4 separate regions of the Mus musculus genome follow, and regions 1, 2 and 4 are each reported to be linked to region 3. The links are microRNA targets in miRTarBase. Many come from high-throughput screens and were not tested one by one. Region 3 holds a microRNA gene; each other region holds the end of a gene's coding sequence.
Evidence for each region. The annotated mature microRNA mmu-miR-5125 reads UCUGCCUGGGAUUUCCUUGU and lies in region 3 at 4,385-4,404, shown strand. An mRNA with a match to its seed (bases 2 to 7 or 8) in the 3' UTR can be bound and repressed. Matches are read on the target gene's strand: a 7mer-m8 pairs with bases 2 to 8, a 7mer-A1 pairs with bases 2 to 7 and ends in A, and an 8mer does both.

Region 1: the mRNA of Slc23a1 is a reported target of mmu-miR-5125. Seed matches in the 3' UTR shown: 7mer-A1 at 5,250-5,256 and 7mer-A1 at 5,256-5,262.
Region 2: miRTarBase lists Kif5b as a target of mmu-miR-5125. Seed matches in the 3' UTR shown: 8mer at 5,703-5,710, 7mer-A1 at 5,710-5,716 and 7mer-A1 at 6,558-6,564.
Region 4: the mRNA of Samd8 is a reported target of mmu-miR-5125. Seed matches in the 3' UTR shown: 7mer-A1 at 2,001-2,007, 7mer-m8 at 2,531-2,537 and 7mer-A1 at 4,804-4,810.

The regions. Positions count from the first base shown.
Region 1 is chr18:35,612,921-35,620,325 of GRCm38, reverse strand. Slc23a1 (solute carrier family 23 (nucleobase transporters), member 1) reads left to right here. Exons shown (of 15, transcript NM_011397.4): 14 at 674-938; 15 at 4,639-5,722. The coding sequence ends at 921. Paip2 (polyadenylate-binding protein-interacting protein 2) reads right to left here. Exons shown (of 4, transcript NM_026420.3): 3 at 6,824-7,003; 4 at 3,140-4,127. The coding sequence ends at 4,071. Among named protein-coding and RNA genes, the nearest start is that of Slc23a1, 11 kb to the left of the region's middle.
Region 2 is chr18:6,201,481-6,208,885 of GRCm38, reverse strand. Kif5b (kinesin family member 5B) reads left to right here. Exons shown (of 26, transcript NM_008448.3): 25 at 551-699; 26 at 5,179-7,405. The coding sequence ends at 681. Among named protein-coding and RNA genes, the nearest start is that of Gm41664, 30 kb to the left of the region's middle.
Region 3 is chr17:23,818,955-23,826,317 of GRCm38, forward strand. Mir5125 (microRNA 5125) reads left to right here and starts at 4,337; the gene lies at 4,337-4,415. It overlaps Srrm2 (serine/arginine repetitive matrix 2), which reads left to right. Exons shown (of 15, transcript NM_001368687.1): 11 at 1-2,736; 12 at 3,459-3,746; 13 at 4,837-4,950; 14 at 5,062-5,166; 15 at 5,262-5,787. The coding sequence ends at 5,271. Elob (elongin B) reads right to left here. Exons shown (of 4, transcript NM_026305.2): 4 at 5,786-6,025. The coding sequence ends at 5,913.
Region 4 is chr14:21,791,977-21,799,381 of GRCm38, forward strand. Samd8 (sterile alpha motif domain containing 8) reads left to right here. Exons shown (of 6, transcript NM_026283.3): 5 at 428-578; 6 at 961-6,750. The coding sequence ends at 1,265. Among named protein-coding and RNA genes, the nearest start is that of Gm23502, 17 kb to the right of the region's middle.

The DNA.
Region 1 (7,405 bases), not on the chromosome of region 3:
CATCCATGCTATAAAAATGGTTTATGCCCCAAATTTAGAACTGTAATAATGAATCCTAACACTGATAAAGTATTTCAAGGTCTATGTCCTCAGGCAGGTCGGATAACTCGGCAGGAAAAGGTACTTGCTGAACCTGGTCGGAGTTCAATGCCCAGGGCCCATATGATGGAGCAAGAGAACCTACTTCCTGTGCTTATCCTAAGACCTCCTCACTCTCATGGTTCCATAAATTCTACATAAACAATAAATGTGATAAAAAAAATTTAAAAACGTACCCTATTCAGAGGTACAGCCTGGGCACTATCTAGGTCCCATGAAGCAACCACACACTAGCCCCATATTCAGACAGACAGTGTAAAATGACTTAGCTTGTTTCTTCACCTTAAAATTTTGTGCCTATGCACCTCCCAGGGGTGTTCAGAAATAATGAAATTATTTAGCACAGGACTTGATGCTACAGTTAAGTAGTATTAATCTTTTAAGGTTTCTCAGAGCTCTGGCAAGTAAGGCATGCAGAGTGGTAGAGTGCTTATCTAGCAGGCAAAACTGCCCTGGGCTCCATTCTGACTAGGCAAATTCATACTTGATTCTAGAAACATGCCTTAGGACTGGCTATGTGCAGGAAAGATAACAGGGTTTTATCCTCCTAGATGACCTCACTGTCCTCTTGCAGGGAGCCCAGAGGAAAGAGGCCTGATACAGTGGAAGGCTGGAGCCCACGCCAACAGTGAGACGTCAGCCAGTCTCAAGAGCTACGATTTCCCCTTTGGGATGGGCATGGTAAAAAGGACCACCTTTTTCAGATACATCCCCATCTGCCCAGTCTTCAGAGGATTTTCTAAAAAGACACAAAATCAGCCTCCAGTTCTAGAAGACACTCCAGACAATATAGAAACTGGGTCTGTGTGTACCAAGGTCTGAAGCCACCTCAATGAAAGGTAGGACATGATATGGTTCTTGTGGGAGGTTGAATAATCAAACATCTGTTTAAACAAAAAGAAAAAAAAAAAATCAAACTAGCATTTTTGTAATCGGTTACAAGTTTCTTCAAGGGGAGATTAGGCAGGGTAAAAAGTCCTTTGGATCTGGGTAGAATTTCTTAGCCATGTTACAGTGAGAGCCATAGATGGTCACAAGTAAGCGGGATTATCAATCCTACCAGATACAGGCAACATCTAGACCAACTAGAGTCTAAGAGCAGTCACTGCCAGCCTGATCTCTCTGTGTATGCATGCATGCATGCTTCTCAAGTACTGGCATTAGCACAATCAGCTCACCCTTCGCCAATTCATGATCCTTCTATTCATAGACTCTCTCAAAGTGAAGGAACTAAAAAGTATGTATTCTATGTACATTAGTGCACATCATGTGCTTGTCTGGTGCCCACAGAGGTCACAGGAAAGCACAGGATCCTCTGGATGGCTGTGAACCACCATGTGGGTATTAGAAAACCAAACCCGAGCCCTTTGCCAGAGCAACAAGTGCTCTTATCTACTGAGCCATCTCTCCAGCCCTTCAAACGAAGGAATTATAGGTGTGTATTACCATTACCATACCTAAGTAATATCTTTGAGACTGGAAAGGTTGGAAACACCAGCAGTGCCATAAACAGGAGAGATCCTTCTACATGTTATTTTGTTTCAATGTTAGTAGTCATAAAATTTCAATCACTTACAGTTCAGTTACCAGAAACCTGCTAATACAAGCCTATAAGGGGGTAATCATTTATCTTTAAGCTTCAAAACATGTGGGCAGCTCTAAATCCTAGTTTTGCCTATAATGGAGACACTTGGCTCTAGTTAATTCAAATATTTTCCCTCTCAAACAAGAAACATTCTAGTGAAAGTTGTGAGTGGTGGCTTAACCCTGTTAATGCCTGCTCTAAGGAGTCAGGCATGAGATCGAAGCTAGCTTGAGTAGTACCCCTTGCACACTTGATACTGAGCAGTTAGAGAACAAAAGGACTGAAAGTGTTATCTCCCAACCCCCAAGTGCCAAGCATGCCTGTCTTTTCTAGAGTTTCTTAAAAAACTTGCCTGTGGCCAGGTGTAGTGGCACACATTTAATCCCAGGACTTGGGAGGCAGAGGCAGGCAGATTTCTGTGATGTGAAGCCAGCCCGCCCTACACAGTAAGCTCCAGGACAGCCAGTGCTATGGAGACCTTGTTTCAAAAACCAAACCAAACCAAAAACCAGGAACAGGACCTTCCAGAGGACCTTGGTTCAATTCCCGGCACCTATGTGGCAGCTCACAGTTGTCTGAAACTCCAATCCTAGGGGCTCCGATATCCTGTTCTGGCCTCTCTGGCTACCAGGCTTGAAAGGGATACACAGACATACCTGCAGACAATAGTCACTTATCTAATAATAAAAAAAGAAAATGAAAACACTTGCTTCTTCATTAGTTTAAGGTAACTGTTTTTAAAAAGTAAAAAGACTTTTGGCAGCACATGGTGGCATAATCCCAGCAGAGGCATATAATCAAGGCCAGCCTGGACTATAGAACAAGTTCCAGGACCGTGAGAAGTACATAGAAAAACCTGGACTTGGAAAAACGAAACAAAACAAACAAAAGACCCTTCCTGGATGAAGTTGACCAGAACAGTGGTTGGTTAGCATGCAGAAAATAGCTGAAGTTCAACCTCTAGCACCACGGACAAAAACCAAGCCAAACCAAATGAACACCTTAAAAGCTTTTCAGAAAGAATGAGCCAGAAATAACCATACAAAAGAGCAAGGCAGTCCCAGCACCCAGGAACTTGAGGTAGGAGGATCCTAAGTTCAAAGCTGGCCTTGGCTATTTAGCAATACACTGTTCTCAAATACAATAAATGGCTACATGGCCTGCAGCTCTAGCACATCAAGAAACATTTATGCTGCTGCACATACTAAGCAAGTGCTCCGCCATTAACAGATATCCCCAGACCAACCACAGCTTTCTACCATGGCTGGCTAAGATTGCTGACAGTGCAGTCTTGGGCAAGGGCAAGTCAAACACTTGACAGACACCTGCTTGGCTACTGTGGACTGGAGTACACCTTCCTGTCAGCACACCTCACACACAGGGCTGCCCAGTGCCCACACTAGGCGAGCACCAACGCTGGAGTCTGTTGTCTGCACCAATAACACAAGCACCAGCTCGGTTCTACTATCATTTATTTTTTTTTAAATATTTTTGAAAAAATATAATTTTTTTACAATATTTTCAACTTAAACACTATTCACACTGAACACGTATGGCAGCTTAACCTACTCAAATATGAAGTTTAAGAAGCCAAAACTGTTCTAGCTTTGTTAAAAGAAAAGTTGTGCTGCAGACTATAGTCATGATGGTTAACAAAGCAAGGAAGAGCACCAGAGTCATGCTACCGTCTTTTGAGTGCTTCAGTTGGATTATGGGCTGGTGTGGGTCCTGTGTTAGACTTCACACATGATGGCGATGATGCAATCAATCTTCAGAAGATGCAAGCCTCAAACTGTATTTCCTCAAGATTAACACTGGGAGAACTCAGTATTCCTAACATGATAATACACCAGGCAAAAGCCAGACTAGCTCCTATCTGACCATCACCTTGTAACCTCAAAGACATTCTTGTGAAATTACTTACTTCAAAATTTAACAGATTTTCTCCAGAAGAGGTTATTTTTGATGGACAAATGCAACTGAGAAATCTGTTTAACAATCAGAACCTAATTTAAATTTATACAAAGTGTAGACATTAAAACGTGTCAACTAACCCTTAAGGGACCAGTTTAGCCTCAAAGACAGACAATTCAATGAGATTTGGAGGTGATTTAATTTGGTTCTTTGTCACAGTTGACTGGTGCTTCTCCCATTGCTGTCTTTACATTAAGCCACGTGGCCAATTCTACTTTCAGTAATTGTGTGACAGCTCCTTACTTAGTAACAGTCTCAGCACTTTTATTAAGCATGCAAGACTAACAAAAACTTTGGCAATGCGTAAGTGTAACACAGTGACGAGAGCTTTTACAATGGAGTCTTCTAACACTGCCTTCCCAGTGTGGAAACTGTGCTACATCCACCAAAAGCGGCCGGCTGCTCAGACATGTCAGTACTTCACCCCAGGAACAAACTCCTTTGCATTGGGATTCAGATTGCTCTTGACCTGAAAAATCATATATTAAAAGAAAAAGAAAAGAAAAAGCAAGTTCATTACAGATGACTGTGATTTCTCAGAAGTATTCAACCTAGACCTTTATGTAAAAATTATCTCCCAGAAAAATACAAAAGGTTGAACTCTATCTAAGGTTCTTCCTACCCCCAAACTCATGGCAGAGAAAGAATGTCATCTGGCTGGCCACAAACTCACGGAGACCCACCAGCCAATGTGCCTCCTAAGTGCTGGGACTGAAGGTCTGCACCTCCTAGCCTCTACATCCTATTAAGTATAACAAGAAACGCACTAACCTCACTTAAGCTATAAGAAATAGCATGAAATAAGGTATTTTCTTTTTCCAAGTGTGCCTGATGCTCTGAAAATACTTCCAAACATGTTAAATACATGTTCTCAGTCTGATTAACTGGGGCATTGTTGGCTATTAGGGAATTTTATTTAAGATTTTCACTGAAAACTTGGGGGTTATCTCTCTACAACTGCTGTTTTCTAATTCCCATAGGAGGCACTGTGTGTAACAGGAAAAGAAAACTACATAGGAGACAGAAGACCTGAGTTGGAGATCTCAGCTCTACCTATTCAAAATTCCCATGGAAGCTTGAACAGATCACCCTCTCTGTGACTCTGTTTCCATGTCAGCCCAAGTCTCCAAGTACTCTAAGAGACCTGGACTGCATTCCTCTGTCTCATTTCCACTTCCCTAAACATGAAGTCAATATAAAGAAGAAGAACTGAAGATCCTCTATGCTGAGTGTTGATAAAAAAGAAACCTGGAGATATTCCAGGGGTAGATGAAGACAGGAAGATTAAAAAACAAAAAACCAAAACCAAACCAAACAAACAAACACACCCCTGAATTCCAATGCCATGTATTTTAAGACCAAAACATAATATTAAATGACATACTGGACCAATAATTTAAAAAAGTTTAGATAAGTGTTCTCCCTTCACATAGGGGAAATAAATCTATACTTTCAGACTAGCTCAGTGATTAAAATGTCTATTTAGAATGTTCTAGGCCTGGGCTTGACCTTCAACATTAAATATACAGAAATAAAAACCCTTAAAAGAAAGAAAAAGTGCCGGGCAGTGGTGGCTCCTGGCACTCTGTGGAGGCAGAGGCAGAGGCAGGTGGATTTCTGAGTTTGAGGCCATCCTGGTCTACAGAGTGAGTTCCAGGACAGCCAGGGCTACACAGAGAAATCCTGTCTCAAAAAAACCAAAAAGTAAGAAAAGCAAGCATGGTTTAATTGTTAAAAAAATAAAAACAGGGCTGGTGAGATGGCTCAGTGGGTAAGAGCACCCGACTGCTCTTCCGAAGGTCCAGAGTTCAAATCCCAGCAACCACATGGTGACTCACAACCACCCGAAATGAGATCTGATGCCCTCGTCTGGTGTGTCTGAGGACAGCTACGGTGGGTGTACTTACATATAATAAATAAATAAATCTTTAAAAAAAATAAAAAAATAAAAATAAAAACAATCAAAAACAAAAAAAGGGCAGAATTCTTGAATATGTAATCTTCTGGAAACTAGAGAAGTCTAAAAATGAATTAAAGTAATCTCGAAAAGTTTGAGTCAAGCAATTCAGTTTCTGTGTTATGGATTTATGCAAATCTAGTCTATACATTAAGCCTTTATTCAAAGCACTAGTAGTATGTGAAATGACTAAAGTAGCAGTAGGCAAATATGTCCCAAGAGACCAGATCAGACACCTATTCAGTTCAGTCACAGTCATTTACTGCAAAGGGTCTGCCACAATGTGGATTCTGGTGTTTTCTGTATTGTTTTTTAGCAGCAGAATGTTTTTCAAAAGCTTGATGTGGAGGAGAACTGTAAAGTATACTTTGGGATGCTTAAACTGAGTATTCAAGTTTAGGTGATTATGATGAACAGCTTAGTAAACTAATCCATAATAAACAGAAGCTACGAATTCTAGGTCTCAGCAGTGTGGGGAAGAGGATTGCTCATGATTGAGGCTAATCAAGGCATTGAGTTGCAGGTTTGAACTAGAGTGAAACTCTGTTTCAACTACCCACCAACTACATCAAGCAAAAAAAATCTTTTATCTTAATTTTAGTAAAAAGATTCCCTGGGGCTGGAGAGATGGCTCAATGGTTAAAAGCACCAACTGCTCTTCCAGAGGTCCTGAGTTCAAATCTCAGTAACCACATGGTGGCTCACAACCATCTGTAACTGAATCTGATGCCCTCTTCTGGTGTGTCTGAAGACATCTACAATGTACTCATATACATAAAATAAATAAATCTTAAAATAAAAAAAAGGGCTCCTCAAGTTCTACATTAGCAATGATGTAAAATTTTATTACAAGCACATTACCAGTGACAAGACTGAGAAATAAGAATATGAACCTAGGTTTATATTCTTTTTCTGCCAAGAGCTTATAAATGTATCTCAAAGAAACTCAATCAGGAGATCTTAGATTTTTCTTTTTTTTGAGACAGGGTTTCTCTGTGTAGCCCTGGCTGTCCTGGCACTCACTTTGTAGACCAGGCTGGCCTTGAACTCAGAAATCCACCTGCCTCTGCCTCCCAAGTGCTGGGATTAAAGGCGTGCGCCACCACGCCCAGCTCTAAAACATCTTAAAGAGAAAGCAGGTTGATTTTTCACTTAAGGGAGATGAGGTAGGGTCTAAAAAAAGAAAAAGATGAGAAATGGCTTTTTACCACAAGATCTTCCAGAGAAGAGCCATCACTGATAACAAGGTCATTAAACTGGTCTTGGATTTGGTCCATAGTTTGTGGGAGATCTCGAGCTGGAATAAACCATTCATGTTCTTCTTCCTCTTCCAGCATTTCTTGGAAACAGCGTTCAATAAATTCTTCTTCCCACAACTCCTCTTCTATCTAGATTTATAACAAAAGAGGTTTATTATAGCATACGGCTTAAAATATCTTAAACTATGCCATCTGAAATCATAATGTAAGGGCCAGGTAAGGTAGTGCATGCCTTTAATCCCAAAACCCAGGAGGCAGGCAGGAGGTATCTGAAAGTCTAAGGCCAGCCAAGGCTATACAGTGAGACTCTGTCTTAGCAGAACAGAACCAAATTAAACCGTAACGTGCCTGGCTGTGTGGTTTAAAACCATCATCTCCACACTTGAAGAATAAGATAAAATGATTACCACAAATTCTAGGGCAGCCGGTGACACAGTCTGATGAGTTTGTCTCTCAAATGTTCTCTCTCTCTCTTTTTTTTTTAAGATTTATTTATTATTATATCTAAGCACACTGTAGCTGTCTTCAGAC
Region 2 (7,405 bases), not on the chromosome of region 3:
ATACTGTTGGGAAAGAAAATAGAAACTGAGAGAGAGCCACGGTCACTTGACAGGTAACTAAATAACTAGACAAGTGAAGGCTAGGAGACACTGTCCAGGGAAACACCACCAAAGGCTTTCAGAACAATCACTGGTGTAGAAAAGGGATTATGGGAGCATGTAGGAGAAAGAACTTGCTATGCAAACTTGGTGGCTCATGTTTGATCCCTACATCCCACAGTGGAGAGAGAGCTGCCTCTGAAAAGTATCCATCTGTGAGTTCTAGCCTAGTCCCGTCCATGTAGAGTTCCAGGACAACCAGGACTACATAGAGAGGCTCTACTTCAAAATTTAACAAAATAGCAAATATTTTGAAAGATTATTAGAGGCAAGAGATTATTATATTGTTTCTGGAGAATAGGAGATAACCAAGTAAGAGATATCTAGAAAGGAAAACACAAGAAGTTAATTCACTAAACACTGAGGAATGGTTAGTGAATAGGGAGAGACCTAAGGAGTCACTGCTGTCACTGTCACACCTTCTGACTCTGACCTTCTTTCTGTTTCACAGCAAAGCCGATCCGTCCTGGACAGCATCCAGCGGCCTCGCCAACTCACCCGGGCACAGTTCGTGGAGGAGGCTCATTTGTTCAGAACAACCAGCCAGTGGGGCTTCGTGGTGGTGGAGGCAAGCAGTCGTAAACACTTGACACATTGCAGGTGTGAGTCTGTGCCTGACTTTTGAGTTTTAACTGTGTGTGGAAATACTGAGCTACTTAGCTTAGGATTCGAGTTTCACAGTAGGATCAGGATTTTTTTTTTTTTTTAATATGTGTTGTTTTATAAATGCAACTTGGCATGATTTCTTTTTTTTTTTTTTTTTTTTAAAGATTTATTTATTTATTTATTTATTGTAAGTACACTGTAGCTGTCCTCAGACACTCCAGAAGAGGGAGTCAGATCTCGTTACGGATGGTTGTGAGCCACCATGTGGTTGCTGGGATTTGAACTCCTGACCTTTGGAAGAGCAGTCGGGTGCTCTTACCCACTGAGCCATCTCACCAGCCCTTGGCATGATTTCTTATGGTCTATTTCATGCTACAGATAATCTATGTTTAGTTTTGTTACTAATTTTAAAACTTGGATTGGATCATTTATAATAATTTTTTGTATCCTACACAATGGGTATGCCCTGGTTTATAATATTACCTTTACTAGAAACATAATAAAGTACATTAATTTTGTTCTAATTTTGCTTCTATAAATGACATTTGAAATATGAAGTATCTTATATACTCCCTCATCCTTTAGATTATTATGAGAAGATTCCCAAAACTGGGATTTTACAGTTTGAATGTTTTTAAGGATCTTACAGTTACTTTCTAGAAAGACAGCCTAAAATTGCATCTTAATAAAAATTAGCATTTGGTTGTATCCTTGCCACCATTGATTATTAGTTTTTGCTTCTAATTTGATAGGCCCAAAATAGTCTACCCTGGGTGGCCTGGAGGAAGCCGGTTTACATGCATACACACTCCCTTTACATTTCCCTTTTAAACACTTACCCGTTTTCAATCACCTATTGGGAGCTGATTTTTCTCTTTTTTAATTTTATGTGAGAGTATTTTGCCTGCATGTATATCTGTATACCACATGCATATAGTGCCCCTGTGGCCCAGAAGAGAGTGTTGGATCCCTGAGACTGGAGTTATAGACAGAAGTGAACTGCCATTTTGGTGCTAGAAATTGAACCCCTGTCCTCTGGAAGAGGACCCAGTGCTCTTAAATTCTGAGTTATCCAGCTCCTACAAGTTGATTTTCCTAATAGGTTTCTGAACTCCCCCTCTTTGGTGTGTGCACAGGTGTGCCTGTGTGGGTGCGGGATGTGTGGAAATTAGAGGGCACTTTAAGAATGTGTTCTCTTTCCACACTATGGGGCCCTGGGGTGAAATGCAGGCTTGTCATCTGTTTCTGGCAGGAAGATAACGAATGTCATTTGAGGGCTTTCTTTATATACTACTATAACTTCACATTTAAAAGTTGTGGAACTAACATACTATACCTATTCCCCATGTGGTACTTGATAGCTTTCTTTTTAATGTAGTAATACACTGAACACTTTGTTCTATATCACATTCACCAGTAAATGGCTGTCTATAGTTTATGACATATTCCAGAAGTCTGATTAACTATAGAAATCCCACAGAAATGCTGAAAATTTAAAATACTAAATAATTATGAGATGGTTAGCTCTTACTGTTTCTGAGAAATCCTAAGGTTGGTTTATTTTAATTTTGCTTGGCTTTGATACTTTGTACATAGGACTGTTTTGAGTAGAAATTAAACCAGCAATCTGGAGAGGTTAAAAATGTAATATTTTGTTTGTTCTGTCTAGTGAAAGGTTTAAGGGAGAGAGAAAAAGTGCCTGGGATTGAACGTTCTGAGTATCATTCCAGCTCTGCTGCGTTCATGAACTTGAACAAAGCAGCTTGCTAAAGTCTGTTCTCTCTGGGCTGGGGAGATGCTTCCATCTGCCAAGTGAGTGAGTTCCAGCTGCCACAGAAGCCTGAGGACCTGAGTCTGGCTTGGCGCACATGGAGAAGTCAGACGGGGAAGAAGACATCTATCTATAAACCCAGATCTAGGGAGGGGGAGTCTCTGGAACTCAGAGGGTTCTGGGGTCAGTAAAATACTCTGTGTTAAAAAATATAATGGTGAAGCAGATGACTGCTCTCCAGCCTCTATACGTACGTGTACACACTGCACACACGTGGAAACTTAACTCATTCTCCTCTGAATCCTCTTAGAATTCACTATAAAAATAAATTATACATTCATGAAAAATAGGTTATTTGTGCAGCTTTAATAATAATAATCACATCTAACATTAATAAGTGTAATATCTCATATCCGAATTTGGATCTTCCTCTTGTGCCTCTGTGTGCCATGGCTTTGTACCTGCTAGTCAAGGCTCAAGCCACTGAGCTGTACCTCTTAGCTCTTCTCTATTTCTTATTAATATCCTGTGTATCTTAAGTTTTCTAAACCAAGGCATGATCTAGGACTTTTTTAAGTTTCTTTTAATCTAGAACATATCTAGGGACAGTGACCTACCAAAGACATCCAGTATCACAAATGTATGCTACCTCCTTCTGGGTGTATTTAATTATGTGTGTAGCTGCCATATTCCTTTACCCGATGTAGACTGATTTAGTGTGTTTGGGGGGGGGGGGTTGTTTTGTGTTTTTTTTGTGGGATTTTCTTTTTTCTTTTTTGAGTCAGGTTCTCATTGTATACTTTGGCTTGCCTGGAGCCTGCTATGTAAGCCTGAACTCAACAGAGATCCACCTGCCTTTGCTTCCTGGGTGCCGGAATTAAAGTTGTGGGTCACTATGGCCATAATGTAAGCATTTTTGCTTGAGTGACACAGGAGATAGATTAGTTGATGTTCCTACACTGAGAAATGCACCCCTCACAGACAGACAGACACATACACAGAGAGTCCATATCCTGTCTCTGCCCATGTTGAACTGTTAGCCTCCTTTATTGGTAAGTTGGAAACAGTTCTTGAGAATTACGTGAGTTAGGACATCATCACTTAGCACCGAGCTTGCACTAAAAAGAAGCTGCTCCTCTGCCTTCCTAGAGGAGAGAGTTTTAGAGCTCAGAAGTTGGTTTCTCCAGATGTTTTTATGTTAAAATTCATGTGTAAATCTTGAACTCATACTTTATTTGAATAGAGAAGAACGTGGCCTCTTAAATACATCTAGTATCATCTACATAGTGATGATGTTTAGCACATGGGAAGGAGTGAAAAGTGTACTTATGAAGTGTAATTGTTATACTGCTGAATCAAAGGATACTCAATTTTTATTTAATTTTTAAACTTATTTTTATTACTTTTTAAAATGATTTATGTGTCATGCCCACAGAAGCCAGAGACATCATTCCCCCTGGAACTGAATTGCAGGCAGCAGTGCACCTCCTAGTGTGGGCACTGAACTGAGGTCCTCTGCCAGAGCAGCATGCACTCTGACACACATGCTCAGCATCCCCTGAGCCTTTTCATTTCTTAGATCACTGTATCTTAAACTGTGATGGGTGGCTGATAAACTTGAAAAGTTAAACTCCCTGAAGATACTTTTTAAAATTACTTTTTAAATGTTGAGGAAAACATGGATTTAGGGCAGTGGTGATAGTTATTAATAATGTTTAATGACTTTTGTTTCCAGTTTTACATAGCCTCTCTTCTGTCACATGGCTTTATTACTAAGTCCAACCTAAAGATGTGTGTGTGTATTAGGTTATGTCTGTAGGCCCACAAGTGCCACGGCTTATTTGTGGAAGTTATAGGTCAACACTGGGTGTCAATCCTTGCTTTTCACCTTGTTTGAGACGGGATCTCTTCTGCACTTCCCGTTCTAACTATCCTGCAGCTTCCAGATACTGTCTTGTTTTCAGTCCCCATCCTGCAGATAGAAGGGTCACAAGCACGCGCTCCTATCCATCCTTGCTTCTGTGGGTTCTGGGAGTCCATCTCCCAGCACTTCCCTGATTTTATCTAAGACACACTATTTGCCACTAATCGCTGCTAAGTAGTGGTCCTTAACTTAAGAACGCCATGTTTTCTGTTTAAAGATTGACAAGCCTGCTTTCCCCCATCACTCCTTCATTCTTCCCATGGTAAGCCTCCTGCTCCCAAATGCTGCTAGGGCTACAAGTTTGGGCCATCATGTGCAGCCCTGTTTTGTTATTAAACAAAATAATTCATATATCAACCCACATATGGCTTTATTAACTAGGGATGAAAAAAATGATGGGCTGACCTTGTAAACATTGTTCTGCTCATAAATAGTTCAAGTTAGAAGACAGAAAAGTAAAAGAAAGCAACCAGGAGCTGGAGAGATGTACATTGGAAAGCACTTGCTCTTTTGCGGAGGACCGGAGTTTGCTTCCTATTATCCACATAGTGACTTAGAGTGACCCATAACTCCAGTTTCTAGTTCCAGGGAATTCCTCTTCTGTACTCCATGGGCACCAGGCAATCATGTGGTATGATGTCATACCACATGTGGTATGATGAACATAAAATCTAATTAAAACATTTTTTAAAGAAATTAAATCATTCCTATCTTGTTCTTTATTTCAAACATGAGTTTTATAAGAACTAAAATTTTCTCTGCTTTTTTCCTATTTCAGGTGTTGAAAAGTAATTGAAGTTTGAAGAGGACATAAAATCAGTCTTTCACTAACTAACCTCTATTCCTTGGGATTGTAGAAATTTAATTTTTTAATGTGTAAATTACTCCTACCCTGTACAGCTGTTTCCTACCCACTCTTGTAAACTCTGCTGCTTCCCAACACTAGAGTGCAATGTTGATGTCCTAGAAGGGAAACGACAGTTTACAACTGCGGCCCTGTTTGTTACACGGTGTGTCCTTCGTGTCTTCACTGTGCTGAGTAACTGTGTTGAGGGACTCTGCTCCTTGATTTGCCTTTCTGTGAGTGTGTAATCTTGGTTTACATTACATAGCTGCTATTGCTTTTCATTTTCCCTTTTCTACTAAAATGTCTTTTTTTTTTAAAGGAAATATGGAACATTTAGATTAAATGTCTTAAATTTTACTACTTATAACACTACTTGCCACAAAATATATCAGGTCAGTCAGTACTGTATTTTAAAAATCCCTCAAGCAAGGTATGGTGGCACGCATCTCTACTCCCAGGCAGAGGCAGATGGATGGCTGTCAGCTTGAGTTCAGCCTGCTTTCCAGGACAGCCAGGGCTATATAGGGAGACCCTGTCTCAAAAATAAATCAAAAAATAAAAAATTAACTTAAAAATAAATTTAAAAATCCCTTGATATGTTGCTGGTATAGTCTCTGAAGCTTGCCTCTGAAAACGTTGAGCTTTGAGACCAGGAGTTCGAGACTGAACAGGCTCTTTCTATTATATCATTAGCTCATGAGATGCCTTTTGAATACAAATATCTTACATATCAAAAATGGATCTCATGTTAAATGGATTTGGAAGTACTATACCCCTTCTTTCTACTTCTGCACTTAAACATAGCTTAATGTGCTCTGCTTTGTTCTGTTATATCTTCCTGCTAAAGTAAGAATTGAGCAGAGCTAATGTCATCTTTAATATTAGGAAATAAGTGGACTAAGACATTATAGAATTAAATAATTTTCAAATGTTAAATAATTGTATTGACTGATAAATTTATAGCCTCTGAAAAATGAGAAAAAAATTGTGAACAGGACAGATGAAGTATAAATTTAAAACTACATGGTTAATTTTGCTCTGAAATCCTATAGGTGGTTTTCACCTGTTATACTAAATCATACACTATAATTTGTTTAGTTAGAAATAGTAAACTGTTTGCAAGTCACTAGTAATTCTCAAAAAAATATTGTTGGCCATAGTGAATAATTTTTAAATTAGAACTAAGTGTGTACCTATTTTTGGCACTTATTTTTCAAATAATTAAGCTCAATCAAGTATATTTTAAGGATCTATAAAAGTGACAGGAAGACCGGGTGTGGTGGCGCACACCTTTAATCCCAGCACTTGGGAGGCAGAGGCAGGCGGATTTCTGAGTTCGAGGCCAGCCTGGTCTACAAAGTGAGTTCCAAGACAGCCAGGGCTACACAGAGAAACCTTGTCTCGAAAAACCAAAAAAAAAAAAAAAAAGTGACAGGAAGGGTCTCAGCACCTGCATCCTCAGTGCTTGGGGCAGCTGTAGCCGGAAGCAAAGACCCACAGGAAATGCAGTGTCTGGGGATCTTTGATAAGTAGACAAGCTTTTGAAGTTCTGGGTTAGAATCTGGCTGGCAGAATCTTTGGAAAAGTTTTATATACAGATATTTGTATTATTAAATTTGGAGCCATAGTCAGAAGACTCAGATCATAATTGGCTTATTTTTCTATTTCCTTAACTATTGTAATTTCCACTTTTATAATAATTTTGATTTGAAAAATAAATTTATTTATTTTTTTAACAGTCAAAATCTTTGCTGTTGTAGTCTGCAGCCTTTAATGATTGTGTTGCTTTTATGATTGAAAGAAGCACTCCACAAATTGAAGAGAGCGTGATGCAGCGAGGTGTAAGTCGTGGTTAGTGACGTGTATGGCTCCTGTGCTCATCGCTGTCTCTGCGAGGCATCTGGCTGCATCTAAAGGACATTCGTTCCAAATGAAAATTTGCTTTTCTGGCAGTTTTCATAATGGAAAAAAAATTCTCCTTTGTCTGAGTATAGAAGTTTTAAGATGTATCATGGGTATCGGTGCTTGTATAACACACAATGAATTGTAACTAGCATGTTGTTAAGAAAACACATTGTTAGTTTTTTTTAATCTTAAATGTTTCTTTTCTATTTATAATTTCAACCTTTCATAAAGTATACTAAGAATTTCACAAATT
Region 3 (7,363 bases):
ATCCAGAACTGCTCGAAGAGGTTCCAGGTCCTCAATAGAGCCAAAGACAAAGTCTCACACACCACCTCGACGCCGGAGCTCTCGATCATCTCCTGAGCTAACCAGGAAGGCTAGAGTCTCTCGTAGAAGCCGGTCTGCCTCCTCATCACCAGAAATCCGCTCCAGAACTCCACCAAGACGCAGAAGAAGTCCTTCAGTATCTTCACCAGAGCCAACTGAAAAGTCAAGGTCTTCACGGAGGAGGCGCTCAGTTTCTTCTCCCCGTACCAAGACAACTTCGAGGAGAGGACGGTCTCCTTCACCCAAACCTCGTGGACTCCAAAGATCCCGATCCCGCTCACGGAGAGAGAAAACCAGAACAACCCGACGCAGAGATAGATCTGGATCATCTCAGTCAACATCTCGAAGAAGACAGAGGAGCCGGTCTAGATCACGAGTTACTCGGAGACGGAGGGGTGGCTCTGGTTACCATTCAAGATCACCTACCAGACAGGAGAGTTCTCGAACCTCCTCTAGACGCAGAAGAGGCCGCTCCCGGACACCCTTGACCAGTCGGAAGCGATCTCGATCAAGAACATCACCAGCTCCTTGGAAGCGCTCTAGATCTCGAGCCTCACCAGCTACTCATCGGCGGTCCAGGTCCAGAACACCACTGATAAGCCGACGTAGGTCCAGATCTCGGACCTCACCTGTGAGTAGGAGACGGTCAAGGTCAGTGAATAGGCGTAGATCTCGATCAAGAGCATCCCCAGTGAGTCGAAGGCGATCCAGGTCCAGAACACCACCAGTAACTCGTCGTCGTTCAAGATCCAGAACACCAACTCGCCGTCGTTCTCGTTCTAGGACTCCTCCAGTGACTCGCAGAAGGTCCAGATCCAGGACTCCACCAGTAACCAGGAGGCGATCTAGAAGCAGAACTTCACCTGTTACTAGAAGAAGATCAAGATCCAGGACATCCCCAGTCACCCGGAGAAGATCGAGATCTCGAACATCTCCAGTCACCCGGAGGCGGTCCCGTTCCCGAACCTCTCCAGTGACAAGACGACGCTCCAGGTCTCGAACTCCGCCAGCAATTCGAAGACGATCTAGGTCTCGGACACCACTGTTGCCACGCAAGCGCTCTCGAAGCCGCTCACCACTTGCTATCCGCCGCCGTTCTAGGTCTCGTACTCCTAGGGCAGCTCGAGGCAAGCGGTCCTTAACAAGATCTCCTCCAGCCATTCGTAGGCGGTCTGCATCTGGAAGTAGTTCTGATCGTTCACGTTCTGCCACTCCTCCAGCAACAAGGAATCATTCTGGATCTCGGACACCTCCTGTAGCACTCAGTAGCTCTAGAATGAGTTGCTTTAGCCGTCCTAGCATGTCACCAACTCCTCTTGACCGATGTAGATCACCTGGAATGCTTGAACCCCTTGGAAGCGCTAGAACGCCCATGTCTGTGCTACAGCAAACAGGTGGCTCCATGATGGATGGTCCAGGTCCTCGGATTCCTGATCACCCAAGATCATCTGTTCCAGAAAACCATGCTCAGTCTAGAATTGCACTTGCCTTGACAGCCATCAGTCTTGGTACTGCCCGGCCACCTCCATCCATGTCTGCTGCTGGCCTTGCTGCAAGAATGTCCCAGGTTCCAGCACCTGTACCTCTCATGAGCCTTAGAACAGCCCCAGCTGCTAACCTTGCCAGCAGGATTCCAGCAGCATCTGCAGCAGCTATGAACCTTGCTAGTGCCAGGACATCTGCTATTCCGGCATCTGTGAACCTTGCTGACTCAAGAACACCAGCTGCTGCTGCAGCTATGAACTTAGCCAGCCCTAGAACAGCAGTGGCTCCTTCAGCTGTGAACCTTGCAGATCCTCGAACCCCTGCAGCTTCAGCTGTGAACCTAGCAGGAGCTAGAACACCAGCTGCATTAGCAGCTTTGAGTCTCACAGGCTCTGGGACACCTCCAACTGCTGCAAATTACCCCTCCAGTTCCAGAACACCCCAGGCTCCAACCCCCGCAAACCTGGTGGTGGGTCCTCGATCTGCGCATGGCACAGCTCCTGTGAATATTGCTGGCTCTAGAACCCCTGCAGGCTTGGCTCCCACAAATCTCTCCAGTTCCAGGATGGCTCCAGCATTGTCTGGTGCAAACCTCACCAGTCCCAGGGTGCCCCTTTCTGCTTATGATCGTGTTAGTGGCAGAACCTCACCTTTAATGCTTGATCGAGCCAGGTCCAGAACACCACCATCTGCCCCAAGCCAGTCTAGAATGACCTCTGAGCGTGAGCGGGCTCCTTCCCCTGCTTCAAGAATGGTTCAGGCTTCTTCGCAATCTCTTCTCCCTCCTGCACAGGATCGGCCTCGGTCCCCTGTGCCATCTGCTTTTTCAGACCAATCTCGTTCAGTTGTCCAGACCACTCCTGTAGCAGGGTCTCAGTCCCTTTCATCCGGGACAGTAGCGAAGTCCACATCCTCTGCTAGTGACCACAATGGCATGCTTTCTGGCCCTGCCCCTGGGATATCCCATGCTGAAGGTGGGGAGCCACCTGCCTCTACTGGGGCCCAGCAGCCTTCTACATTGGCTGCTCTGCAACCAGCTAAGGAACGTCGGAGCTCTTCCTCCTCTTCATCATCATCTAGCTCCTCCTCCTCTTCATCATCTTCATCGTCATCCTCCTCTTCCTCTGGCTCCAGTTCTAGTGATTCAGAGGGTTCCAGCCTTCCAGCTCAACCTGAGGTGGCACTGAAAAGGTGAGGCAATTAAGGGATCTAGGGAGCAGGGACTTAACAATGGGTGGGTGAGTAGGGAGGGAGAAATCTTGTCAAAAGCACTTGGCTTTGAGAAAGTATGGGGGACCTTGGCCTTCAAGCTGGGAGTAGAAAGAATGTTGGGCGGGGGCTTTGTGGGGAGGAATGGGACAGATAAAAGTCTCCAAAGGTTAATTCTCCAGAGGATAATGATAAGTTTTCCATCTCTACAGAGGACAGAACTAGAGGAAATGGACTTAATTTTACAGCAGGAGGGATGGCAGTTAGACCTCAAGAGGAACTCCCTGGGCTGGAAGGATCTTCAGAGGTCATCCCATCCCTCTCCCTGCCTCCAGGCAGGACGGCCCCTCCCCAGCCAACCTGCACTCACAGGGGCCTCCCCAAGCTGCGGCTCTCCAAGGAAGGAGATCACCCAGCTTCAGCTTCCACATCTGAGTCCAGGGGCCTTAATCCTTCATCAGGGACATTCTTGAGGTTTAACCTTGATCCCTTGTGCTTCGGGCCCCAGCCTGTTGCTTGTGTTAGCAGAGGTTTGGTCAGCTCTGTGCCACTGCTCCAGAGAAGTACTACTCACTGGCCTGCCTTCGTGTTTTCCCAGGGCTTTTCTCAGGCACCCCTCCCCCACTGCCGTTCCTCCAGGCCAAGGAAGGTAGGGTTGGGGTTGGGGCATCTTGTCTCCTTGTGACACCTTTCTTCTCTCACAGGGTTCCCAGCCCCACCCCAGTCCCAAAGGAGGCTATTAGAGAGGGACGTCCTCAGGAACCAACCCCGGCCAAAAGGAAGAGGCGCTCTAGCAGCTCCAGTTCCAGCTCCTCCTCCTCCTCCTCTTCCTCTTCTTCCTCTTCCTCCTCCTCCTCATCTTCCTCCTCCTCTTCTTCCTCTTCTTCCTCCTCTTCTTCCTCCTCTTCCTCCTCCCCCTCCCCTGCTAAGCCTGGCCCTCAGGCATTACCCAAACCTGCAAGCCCCAAGAAGCCACCCCCTGGCGAGAGGAGGTGAGTGCTTTCTTGCCTGTTGTGGAAGGGGGGTTGGGGTGAGTTCTCCAGAAAGGGGACCCTGGGTGAGGTTCCTGCTGGGGTGCCTCGTGTGGACGTCTGTGACTGGTTGTACGGGAGAAGGAGTGCCGGACTCCTCCCATCCTCCCACAGTGTTGTATTCTGGTCAAGGGCTGCACTATCTAACTGAGGTGTCCCAGGCCATATCTGGGAAGTCATAGGATTCTTCCTCCCTCTCCCCTCCCCTGACAAGCAGCCTGGTCTCAGAGATCTAGCTCTAAGTCTCCCCATTGCTGCTGCAGGGCTCTGGTCTGGCCACCGTCATCTTCTCCCGACTCTGTCCACAGCCTCCTCCCTGTCTCCCTGCCTCCACGCCATTCTCTTCCACACGTAGCCAGAGGGATCTTTCTAAAACGCACATCTGGTTACTTCCCTTCACTCCACAAATCCTTCCGGAACGCCCTGTGGCCTGCAGGATAAAGTGCCACCTCTGCGGGAATGGCGTGTGAGGCTCTTCACCAGCTGCCCTTGCCCGCCCTGTGCTCCTCCTGCCCGCCCCCACACATGCCCCGTGCTCCGGCCATACCCAGCGCCTTGCAGTCTAAGGAGAGCCCCATGCCTTTGGACATGCTGTTCCTTCTGCCTGGGATTTCCTTGTCTGCCTGGTGAACTCGTTCTGCAAGACTGCATTCAAACAGCACCTCCGAGAAGACTGCCCTGCCATTTCCCTGTCCTGCCCAGGTCCCCATCCTTTCTCTGGATCCCCAGGCCCATGCATATCCATCCTGCTGGGCTGTTTCCTATGTAGGGGGCGTGTGTGCCTTCATTGTTAACCTTTACTACCAAACAAAATTCTTCCAAGGGCAGGGACTCTTTTATCTTTGCATCCCCCGCTGCACCCTGTGCCCTGTCCACTGGGGTACTCGGTGGATGGTGTGCGGGCGGATGGGTGAGTGCGGACAAAGGTGGGTCTGAGGCTGGCCCTGTGTGGTGTGAGGTTTGGTGGTCAGGACCTGGGTGGGTGGTCCTGAATGCTTGGCTGGTGGGTTTGGGAGGATGTGGAGCTATAGAGGCCTACTCTGCTTCCTAGGTCTCGAAGTCCTCGGAAGCCAATAGACTCCCTTCGGGATTCCCGATCCCTCAGTTACTCACCCGTTGAGCGTCGACAGCCCTCGCCCCAACCTTCACCAAGGGATCTACAGAGGTAGGGCCTATAGCAGGTGCTAGCAACCTGACTCAACTAGCTACCATTAATTTGTAAGCAAAATTTAAAAGTTTTTGGTATTGTTCTGTGACCTAATTTCTCCTCTTGTAGCAGTGAGCGAGTTTCCTGGAGAGGCCAGCGAGGGGACAGTCACTCTCCTGGTCACAAGAGGAAGGAGACACCTAGTCCCCGTTCTAATCGTCACCGCTCCTCCAGGTGTGTCTCCTTGGAAGTCTGGCCCTTCTGAGAGCTAGTAGTTAGGGATAGGGATATGTGTGGTGACCCAGAATGACCAGTCTTCTCTATTCCAGGTCTCCATAATCTGGATTCCACTACACCTCATACTCTGGAGACATGAGTATTCCTCATTTTTCCCAGAAGAATCATGGAAGGAGTCTTTGTATGCCTTCCCTTGAACCTTGGCAGCATCTTGAGGGGAGAGCGTCCTCTCCCACCCACCCTTTTTTTTTTTTTTTTTTTTTTTGGTTCCTGTGAAATGTTGATCTCTGTGAGTTTTTCCTGGTTCTTGTGTTTTGGGGGTTGGAGTGGGAGGGAGGGAGTCTAGGGAGGGAGGGGCACAGCTCAGGACATCTAGGCCTCAGATTGTGATGATCCAGGGAGTTAGCTCCCTAAATTCTTGGGTGACTGATGGTTTAACTTGGTAAGTTGTAATCTTTCCTGAAAGAGGAAGGAGCTGAAGTTGGTTGGCCCTGCTGCACCCCCTTACAAGGTTGTGAGGCCCTCTCCCCCCCAACTTTGTTTAAGGCATTTTGGTTTTTTAAAATCTGTACAGTAAAAGCAACTTTTTCTGTCAAATAAAAATGAGAAATGCAGTAATTGGTCTGTAGTCTTTACTTGGGGTTAAGAGTTCTGTGAACAAGAGGGAACAGAAAAGTCAATCAGGTAGACAGCCAAATTTTTTTTATTGGGGAAATGGGTCTCTAGGGGGTAGGCCTAGGCCCTCACTGCACAGCTTGTTCATTGGCACTGCCTCCAGAATCCTGTGGCTTCATCACATCTGGAAGCTCTGGAGGGCTGGAAAAGGGCTCGATGCGGAGAGCTTCGAAGGTGTCATCTGGGGAAGGGGTATAGAAGATTCTCAGCGTTTCCATTCATTGACTTGTATCAACCATCAAGGCCATAACCCTCCCCACCTTGGTTGCCTGACTTGGCAATGGTATGATGACTTCTGTCCTCAGAGGCCTAACTTTGCCTCTGACCCCATTACATGTCATTGATAAAGACCCCCAACCCCCAGCTTTGTGCTTGTCTGGCAAGTATCAACCTCAGAATTCTTTAATCCTGGTTTCCAGTGTCCACAGTCAGTACAAAACATGAACTCCACTTTCTATCTTTTCTCCTGTTTGTGTCCACCTAGAAATTCCTTACCTGGCCCTCAATGCTACTGGTTGGTAAAATTAGTAAGGAAGACGGCAAAGAGCTGGGGTTTGATCAAGAAAGAAGTCAAGGATGTAGATGTGCTTTCTATTAAGAGCAAAGGTTTAGAAACTGACCATCAGCCAAGTGGTGGTGGTCCACGCCTTTAATCTTAGCACTTGGCTGGGCAGCTAAGGTTACACAAACTTCTGGGGGTTGGGGGAGAATGAATTCTCATTCCTGTTACTGGTCTAGTTAAAACGCCATTTGCCAAACCTTCCTAATAGCCTTCAGCCTTCAGTATGGACATTTGAGTGGCAGCAGCAGTGAAAGCAACCTAATTAGGTCCAGAAACCTAATGCTGTCAGCTGCTTCCAGAAGTGCTTCTGCAAATCCTGCCATTAACACATTCCATTGGCCTGAGGGGTAATAAAGCCTCTGGTCCAGTCTTGCCCATATCTAATGCCATATCAGGAGTTGTGTGCCCTTAGCTTTGACATAACAACCTAACTTAGCTTACGCAGACAAGCTGTATTTTAGCCACAGGAACCCACGCAAAAGGGGATCTATCTGGCCCGTGTATCTTCACCAGCCCTATAAGTGCCTCATTGCTGACTCACAGGCTACTAGTTACCTTGGAGCAGATACCTCCCAGGATATTTATCGTGATAAAAGGATATTTGCAGCAAGCCCTTGGGGGGGGGGGGGCTATGGAGATGGAAATTCCAGGCTGGGTGGGGCAGGGACAATCGGCTATGCATAAGGATATATAGCTTGGTGAGCTGAGGTTTACTTTACAAAAACTAAAAAGGATAATTTACACTTCTATTTCTTTTCCCATCTTAGCCTCTTTCTAGAGTATGTATATGGGCTTTCATGTATGTATGTATGTGTGCCAATGAAGGCCAAAGGCACTGATTTTCTGGAACCGAAATGAACAGTTGTAAACTACCATGTGGGTACTGGGAACTGAACCCAGGTCCCCTGCAAGAGCCAGTATTCTTAATTGCTGAGCCATTTTTCTACATTTTATTCC
Region 4 (7,405 bases), not on the chromosome of region 3:
TCTTGGCATTGACTTTGCACTTTTTGCTTTTGTTATTATCTTGAGATGCGGTCTCTCTGTGCAACCCTGGTTGCCCTGGTTGTCGATATGTAGACCAGGCTGACCTCAAGCTCACAAAGATAGATATACTGGCCTCTGCCTCTGAGGTGTTGGTATATGAACATACGCTGTACGCCTGCCTTGACCTTTTTACTTTAAAGGAACTACTGTAAAGGAGTTTGAATTAGGATGATTTCATTTAATTAGCATTTTCTAAGTACAGTCAAGCTCTGGTAATTCTCTGGGCCCACCTTGAATTAGCTGAGTTAGACCAGTTGCCTTTACCTGGATGCTCTTATTTCTGAATCATGAATTGCCTGAAATGGATTTGGGCAAGCTCTGAGCCTCAGTAAGCATTTGAAGAACTAACTCACAGCGTTCTTTGTAGATATATGGAAGTGTGTGGGAGAAACTACGACGGGCATTTGCCATCTGGAGCGGCTTTGGAATGACTCTGACTGGCGTCCACACTTGTGGAGACTACATGTTCAGTGGCCACACAGTTGTTCTAACCATGCTGAATTTCTTTGTCACAGAGTGTAAGTATATCTTTAATGCTCCTATGCATATTAGATAGCTTGTTGCAGAGAAGGAACTAGGGAGGAAGTGAGAAAGAATAGGCGGCTGGGGTGGAATGCAACTCAGTCTGGAGTGCTTGCCTGCCACATGTGAAGCCCCAGGTTTGATCCCCAGCACCACATAAAGCTAGGTGTGACGGCAGATGCCTGTAGATCCTAGTTCAAGTTCATCCTCAGCTACACATCCAGGTCAGCAGCCTGGGCCACATGAGACAGAGCTGAAATAAAGGGTGTGGGGCAGAGGTTAGGGGAGCAGAAGCTTAGAGCCTACCCTGAGAAACGTGGCTAAGAAGCTTGGCAGGAATGTGTTATTAAATAAATGGTCCTTCTGTCCTTTTCCTAGATACACCAAGAAGCTGGAATTTCTTGCACACTCTATCCTGGGTTCTCAACCTCTTTGGAATCTTCTTCATCTTGGCTGCCCATGAACATTATTCCATTGATGTGTTTATTGCCTTTTATATCACAACAAGACTCTTTTTGTACTACCATACTCTGGCTAACACCAGAGCGTATCATCAGAGTAGGAGAGCGAGGATTTGGTTCCCTATGTTTTCTTTCTTTGAATGCAATGTTAATGGCACAGTACCTAATGAATATTGTTGGCCATTTTCTAAACCAGCAATAATGAAAAGACTAATTGGATGAAGACTCTCTCTCTGTAATGAGTTTGTTGTTAAATATACAGTAGTTATGGAATGAAAATGAATACTTTGTCCCAGGCTCCTGGATACGTTGCATTTGGCTTCTGTGTTGACAGGTTTCCCGTTCTGAGAAAGGCCGTGACTGTAAAACTCAAGAAAGAACACACAAGACTCCTTATTAGCTGTTTGAATGGAGAGGTCATGGAAAGAGTTTCCGCCCCTCACTGTAGGAAGACCCAGCGTGGGGTGATGTCAGGCCGATACCTGTGCATGCTGAGTGTTTGCTTACGGAACTCAAGCACATCAGCTTGGGCTGGTTGAAGAATTGTTACTGATTCCCAGTAGGACTCAAGTCAAGAATATTTCTGAAGCTGGCTTTCCTTACCTAGTGAGCCGTTCTCATGTGTTCATTGAACTAATCTGTGTCTGTCTGCAAAGTGAGTGTCTTACTGGTAAATATGTTTTACCTTTTGAGCCATTTGAAAGAAAAACACATTGAACACAGCAGAAACAAAAGAATGCGGGGGGCACCGTGTGAGGTGACACGCTCGCTGATCAGGTGTCGCCGGCCTCCCACTAATGCAGGGGTCAGCATTTCAGAGCAGGTGCAGCGTCAGTTGCTGTCCCTTTCTGTTCGGAAGCTTCAGTGTGAACAACAGAAAGGGCTCCTGAGGGGAGGTGGCTGTGTTCCTGTAGTGCTGTAAGTCCCCGGACTAAATACTTGTTGTAACTGTTAGTTAGGCAGATGACAGCCCAATATACTGCTTTTTAATAATGTGACTTAAGTGAACACATGAGTGTTTTACCAGATGTTAGAGTTCTTACATCAGTGAGTGAGTAAATGTGCATGCAGAGAATTCTTTTCTTCTGGAAAAAAACAAAACAGAACAGAACAAGCTGTAGGCGCAGTGCTAATTCTCGGGGTGGGGGTGGGGGTGGGGTCCTCTTTTTGTTGTTGTTTTTCCCTGAAAGTTCTCATTCCCGACCATGGAAAGTACACAGTCTGAGACATGGGTGGATAGAAAAAGGCTTCTTACTTTTTATTTTAAAAAAATTATATACATATGTTCTTTCTAGAGTCTTAATTTGGCAGTTAAGAACTAAATACTTTAGCTGCTGTTTACCTTCAGTAATTACTGTCACCTCTCCGATACCATTTGTCACTTTATTTTCTATTGGTTGTACATAACAGTTTTAACCTGGTTGTAGAATTGGAATACTAATTGTATAGTCTTTACGTTCCATTTTCAAACAAGGACTCAAGAGCTGCAGGCAGGCGCACTGCAGTCTCACGCAGGCCACAGCCGGCGTTTATTCCTCTGTCTCGGCGGCTGAATGGTCATTTTTGCAGTTGGAGTCATAGTCCCACCTCTTGGAAGCCACTGAGTGGATTAGGCAGGAAGGGGGTTTGTCTAATAGACAAACGGGCCTCCCCCGTGCTGAGAACCCCTGCTCTGAGGAGGCTGGAGACAGCGCTCATTTCTCACCTGAGAGATGAGGTAAAGCAATCAAAATCAAGTTCAATTATGTTTTTAAATCTTGTACTTCAAAATCCTTGCAGTATTTTAAATTATTGATTCTATTACAAGCCAGGATCAAAAACGCCAATATCTTATCTAAAGAAACGTCCTAATCCTGGAGAAAAGGTTTGCTATGCTTGTTTGAGTAGCTTGACTTAGGGCCAAGGGATATATTACTGCCACCCCCTCTTATTACTCCCCTGCCCCCCACAGAGCAGGATCCAATTTACCTGGGGGGAGGGGGAGAGACAGTGTTGGCTTTTGGGAAAATGTTCCAAAAATGCGTGTCTACATTAGTTTTAAGATGCTAACTATATTAATGGTAAATATCTTAACATCAGGCTTCTCTCCTCCATATGGGTTCTATCATAGAACACAATAGGAAACAGGTGCAGCTGGCGTTGCCCTTGCCAAGCTATTGATGGTGAGAGTGCCTGACAGCAGCCTGCTGTACGGATTGAGTGGCCTTGGGTCACTCCTGTTTGTTTGGAGGAAAAAGATAAGCTAGATGTATAGCCTAGTAGCTACTATAAGACAGTGTTTACAGAGCTAATCCTCTTCAAGTCTCAAAACTGAGACAACATTAGTTTTCAGGTTTTGTCCTCACATCTTTTTCCTTACTAAAACCTAACCATAATGAAGATAGAATTTATGTTTACATTTTGGGCATGATGTGGCTGCGTGCAGTCTCCACGCTTTTGAACCCCGTATTTGATTCTGCAGTCGTGTGAGACTTTTCTCCTTGACAGCTTAGTACAGAAGCAAGGAAAGGTTTTGAGTTCTTGGGGGTGCAAAGGAAGAATTGCCTACATTCTAATCCCAGTGTCGCTGCCCTCCCTGTGGTGTTAAGCCCAGGGCTGTGTGTGCGAGGCAAGTGCTCTCGGCTTTTACAGTGCAAACAGGATCTACTGAAAGGTAGACATGCTGGGTGGAAAGGAACGAGCTCCTATGGAACATAAGCTTGCTCTCACCACCACATAGTTTTGGCAGAAACCTTTGTGTTACACTTCCCAACGAGGCCAGAGTTGCTGTGGCAAAAATAACCTTTCTAAAGCAATGGGCTTCATCTTAGAACCAGTCAATTTAAATAACGTGAGCTGTAACCAAGAAAACCCACACTTCCAATAGCGTAACATTGACACTGTAAGTGGTGACCAGCCCCATTCTACCTGCCTGTTAGGACTGAGAATTCCAAAACTCTGTAAGTTATAAGTGGGGAACAGGGGTGCTGGATCCTTCTATAGCAGAGAGCAAGTAGTCTTTCAGGAACATTTGTGCAAAAGTGTTTGGTTGTTTGTTGGGGGGGGGGGGTTCTTTGTTTTTGTTTTTGTTTTATTTTGTTTTGTTTTTTCAGAGACAGGGTTTCTCTAATTCAGGGATCACCTGTCTTTGCCTCCCATGCTGGGATTAAAGGTGTACACCACCACACACATCTTTTTGTAAAACTTAATTCGTATAAATTCAGATTTGTGGCAAAAATGTATCTTCTTTATATTCAGCAAAAAGAAATTTTATCATTGAAAGATTCTAGATCCAAAATGCTTAACAATGTTTACAATATTCTTGACTTAAACTCTCTGATTTAGTACACTCAATTATTTGATGGTCTTGTGGATAGAAATCCCATAGCAAAAGCAGACAGTATAGTCGCCCTCTCAGCTGACAGACTTAGGAGACAAGAACGGTCTTTAGAATAGTCCACTTGCTTTCCTTCAGACAGCGTGAAAGCAGAAAGCATGTCAGGGGTTTTTGTTGTTGTTTTTTTGTTTTCTTTTTTTTTTTTTTTTTTTTGGTTTGGTTTGGTTTGGGTTTTTTGTTATTGTTGGTTGTGGGTTTTGTTTTTGTTTTCATTTTAAACAAGCTTATGTAAATAAGATGCTTGACTTGAAGGGAAAACTATCTAAGATCATTTTGTTCAAGAGTAATTTATTCCCTAAAGACATGTAACAGCTTCAAAAAAAATATAAAAATTGTCCTTGAAGCTGGGCATGGTGGAGCACGCCTTTAATCCCAGCACTTGGTAGGCAGAGGCAGGCGGATTTCTGAGTTCAAGGCCAGCCTGGTCTACAGAGTGAGTTCCAGGACAGCCAAGGCTACACAGAGAAACCCTGTCTCAAAAAACCAAAAAAAAAAAAAAATTGTCCTTGGTTTTGCAATGATAAATGAAAATCATTAAAATTCTCCAATTGAACAAGGCATGCAAGGATTTGGTGGTGTTGTGTTCTTTTGTTAAAACAATGAGAGCAAAATAACTTACTGAAATATAAAGATGAGAGCTGAATGAGCATGCCACCAATGGAGAAGGGGTATTTTCACAGACCCAGTACTTTCCCCCAGACCATCTCCATCTGATGCCAACCAGAACAGAACATTGGCCATTTCGTTTAAAAAAAGGAAAAGAAAGAGAGAGCACTATGCGTGTGCACATACACCAGTTACTTTTTGTACAATAAAGAAATGGGGACAGGGAAATGAAAGAAGAGAAAACTATACTGTGTAGTCAGGATGTGGCGGGACCAAACTGTGGCTTTTTAATTGAGAATGTATTCTTGGTCTATAACAAATTCTGGAGTAAAGTAGCAGGCTCCCTTTTTAAGTAGACACCTCCAGTCTGCTGCTGGAACACATACATCGATCTTTATTCTCCACTGATTGGTTGCCCATCGAACCGGAATCTGATCTGCCTCATTGACAAACCCTGCCGTTCACAATAGGCTTTCATTAGTTTACTAAGTGGTATATGCCTCTTAACCTTACACTGCACCACAGAACCATCCTGTCCCGCCACCTTCAAATTAATATGATCATTGTTCTCAGTCTTGACTCCTTCCTTGGGTTTCTCGTCAGCCATGGCAAGTGCAGGAGTCTCCTTGTGGCCTTCGCTGTCCTGGAACTCAGACATTTTTCTGCCTCTGTCTTTGCCTCTGCCTCTGCCTCCCAAGTTGCTGGGATTAAAGGCAAGCATCACCACTTACTGCCTAGCAAGCATGTCAGGGTTTTTTTTTGTTTTGTTTTTGTTTGTTTTTTTGAGACAGGGTTTCTCTGTATAGCCCTGACTGTCCTGAAACTCACAAGCATATCAGGTTTAATGGCAACTTTACATAACAGTTTGTGTTTATTAAAAAGTGAGATTAGTCCCAGTCACCCCTATTACCTCTGCAGCTGAGGATTAAAGTACCATCAGAGATGCTTCAGGCTACTGGATGGAAAGAGAAAGGGTTTTGTTTGTTTGTTCTCCTTATGAATAGCTTTAAATGACTAAAATTACTGTAAAAGTAGGTGTTGGTTTGCCTGTAGATTCAGTGGCACTGATTTTACATAACTAATATGATGAATTACTGTATCAAGTTCAGTACAAAGGTCTGTGAACTCTAAGCTATTTCTCCAGCTACACTAAGTTGTTTTTGAGGATACATTCTACACTGTGTTAATCAAAGGACTCTTTATTCTGTGAATTTCCCATCTTGGCATAAGGAAGCTTTGTGCTTTGATGGGAGAAGGAATATTCTATTGTTTGTTTTCTTTTTTCCATTGTTACTTCACATCTCTTTTAATCTGAACTAGTGGATTGTCTGAAGAACCAAACCGAGCCTATTGTTATTAACATCTTTAAAATGTTTAATTTTAATAATTTTTCATTGAATTCATGGATTGTTGGGATAATGAAGTATTTGTGATGTGGAACAAAGGAAATGAAATTGGTACTCAGTGGGGAAGCAGGTTGCTTGGACTAAGCCAGGCATGTTCAGTTTTGAGAATTCTACCTAAAGGTCTCCCTGCCCACAGAGAAACTAGTGTTACTTGAAGACATGAAAATCCCTGTGGTAGCCAGACCTTGAAGCACAGTGTTGTAATAAGTAAATACCTGATTCTAAATTAAATTCAGATTTAACTAATATATATTATTTTATAACTTTGTTGTATTAAAATGTTTTAAACACTAAAAAATAAAGCATTTGAAAGTTGGTATGTGGCTTGTTATAACCCTTGCACTATTAACATAGTGCGCCTTTATGTCTCAGACAGAGTCTTGCTGTGTGTGGTCTGCTCTCAAGCCTGTGTGCCTCCTGCCTTTGACTTGCTGTCCTCCTGCACCAGCCTCCGTGTTAGAATGGCAGGGTTTTTTCCCCAAATGGTTAAACACTGCAGCTTTAGGAAGGAAAATGGGAGGGAAGGAAGAAAAGAATTTAAATTGCATTTCACAGTACACACATGGAGGTCAGTAGACAACTCTGGTCACTGTTGTGTCTCAGGGGTTGAACTGGAGTTGTCAGGATTGGTGGTAGCCCTGTGCATTTACCTATTGTGTATTTACCTACAAACACTTACTATGCATTTACTGCTGCACAGCAGCTTTAAAGCTGTAGGGTGTAATGTGTGGCATTTACTAACTCTCAGGTAATTGTCTGTTTCACGATAGGAAGCTGAGCAGAGGAAAGGCTGGCAGAGAGCACGTGTCTAGCATGTGTGAGGCCTTGGTTTGATCATCAGCACAAAAAAGAAACAGACAGACAGTTGAAAATGGAGGTAAGAAGATTAGAATTCAAGGCCTGCTTTTGCTGCATAGCAAGTTGGAGGTCATCCAGAGCTTTATGAGACCCCAGATCTTAAATACAAGATGTAC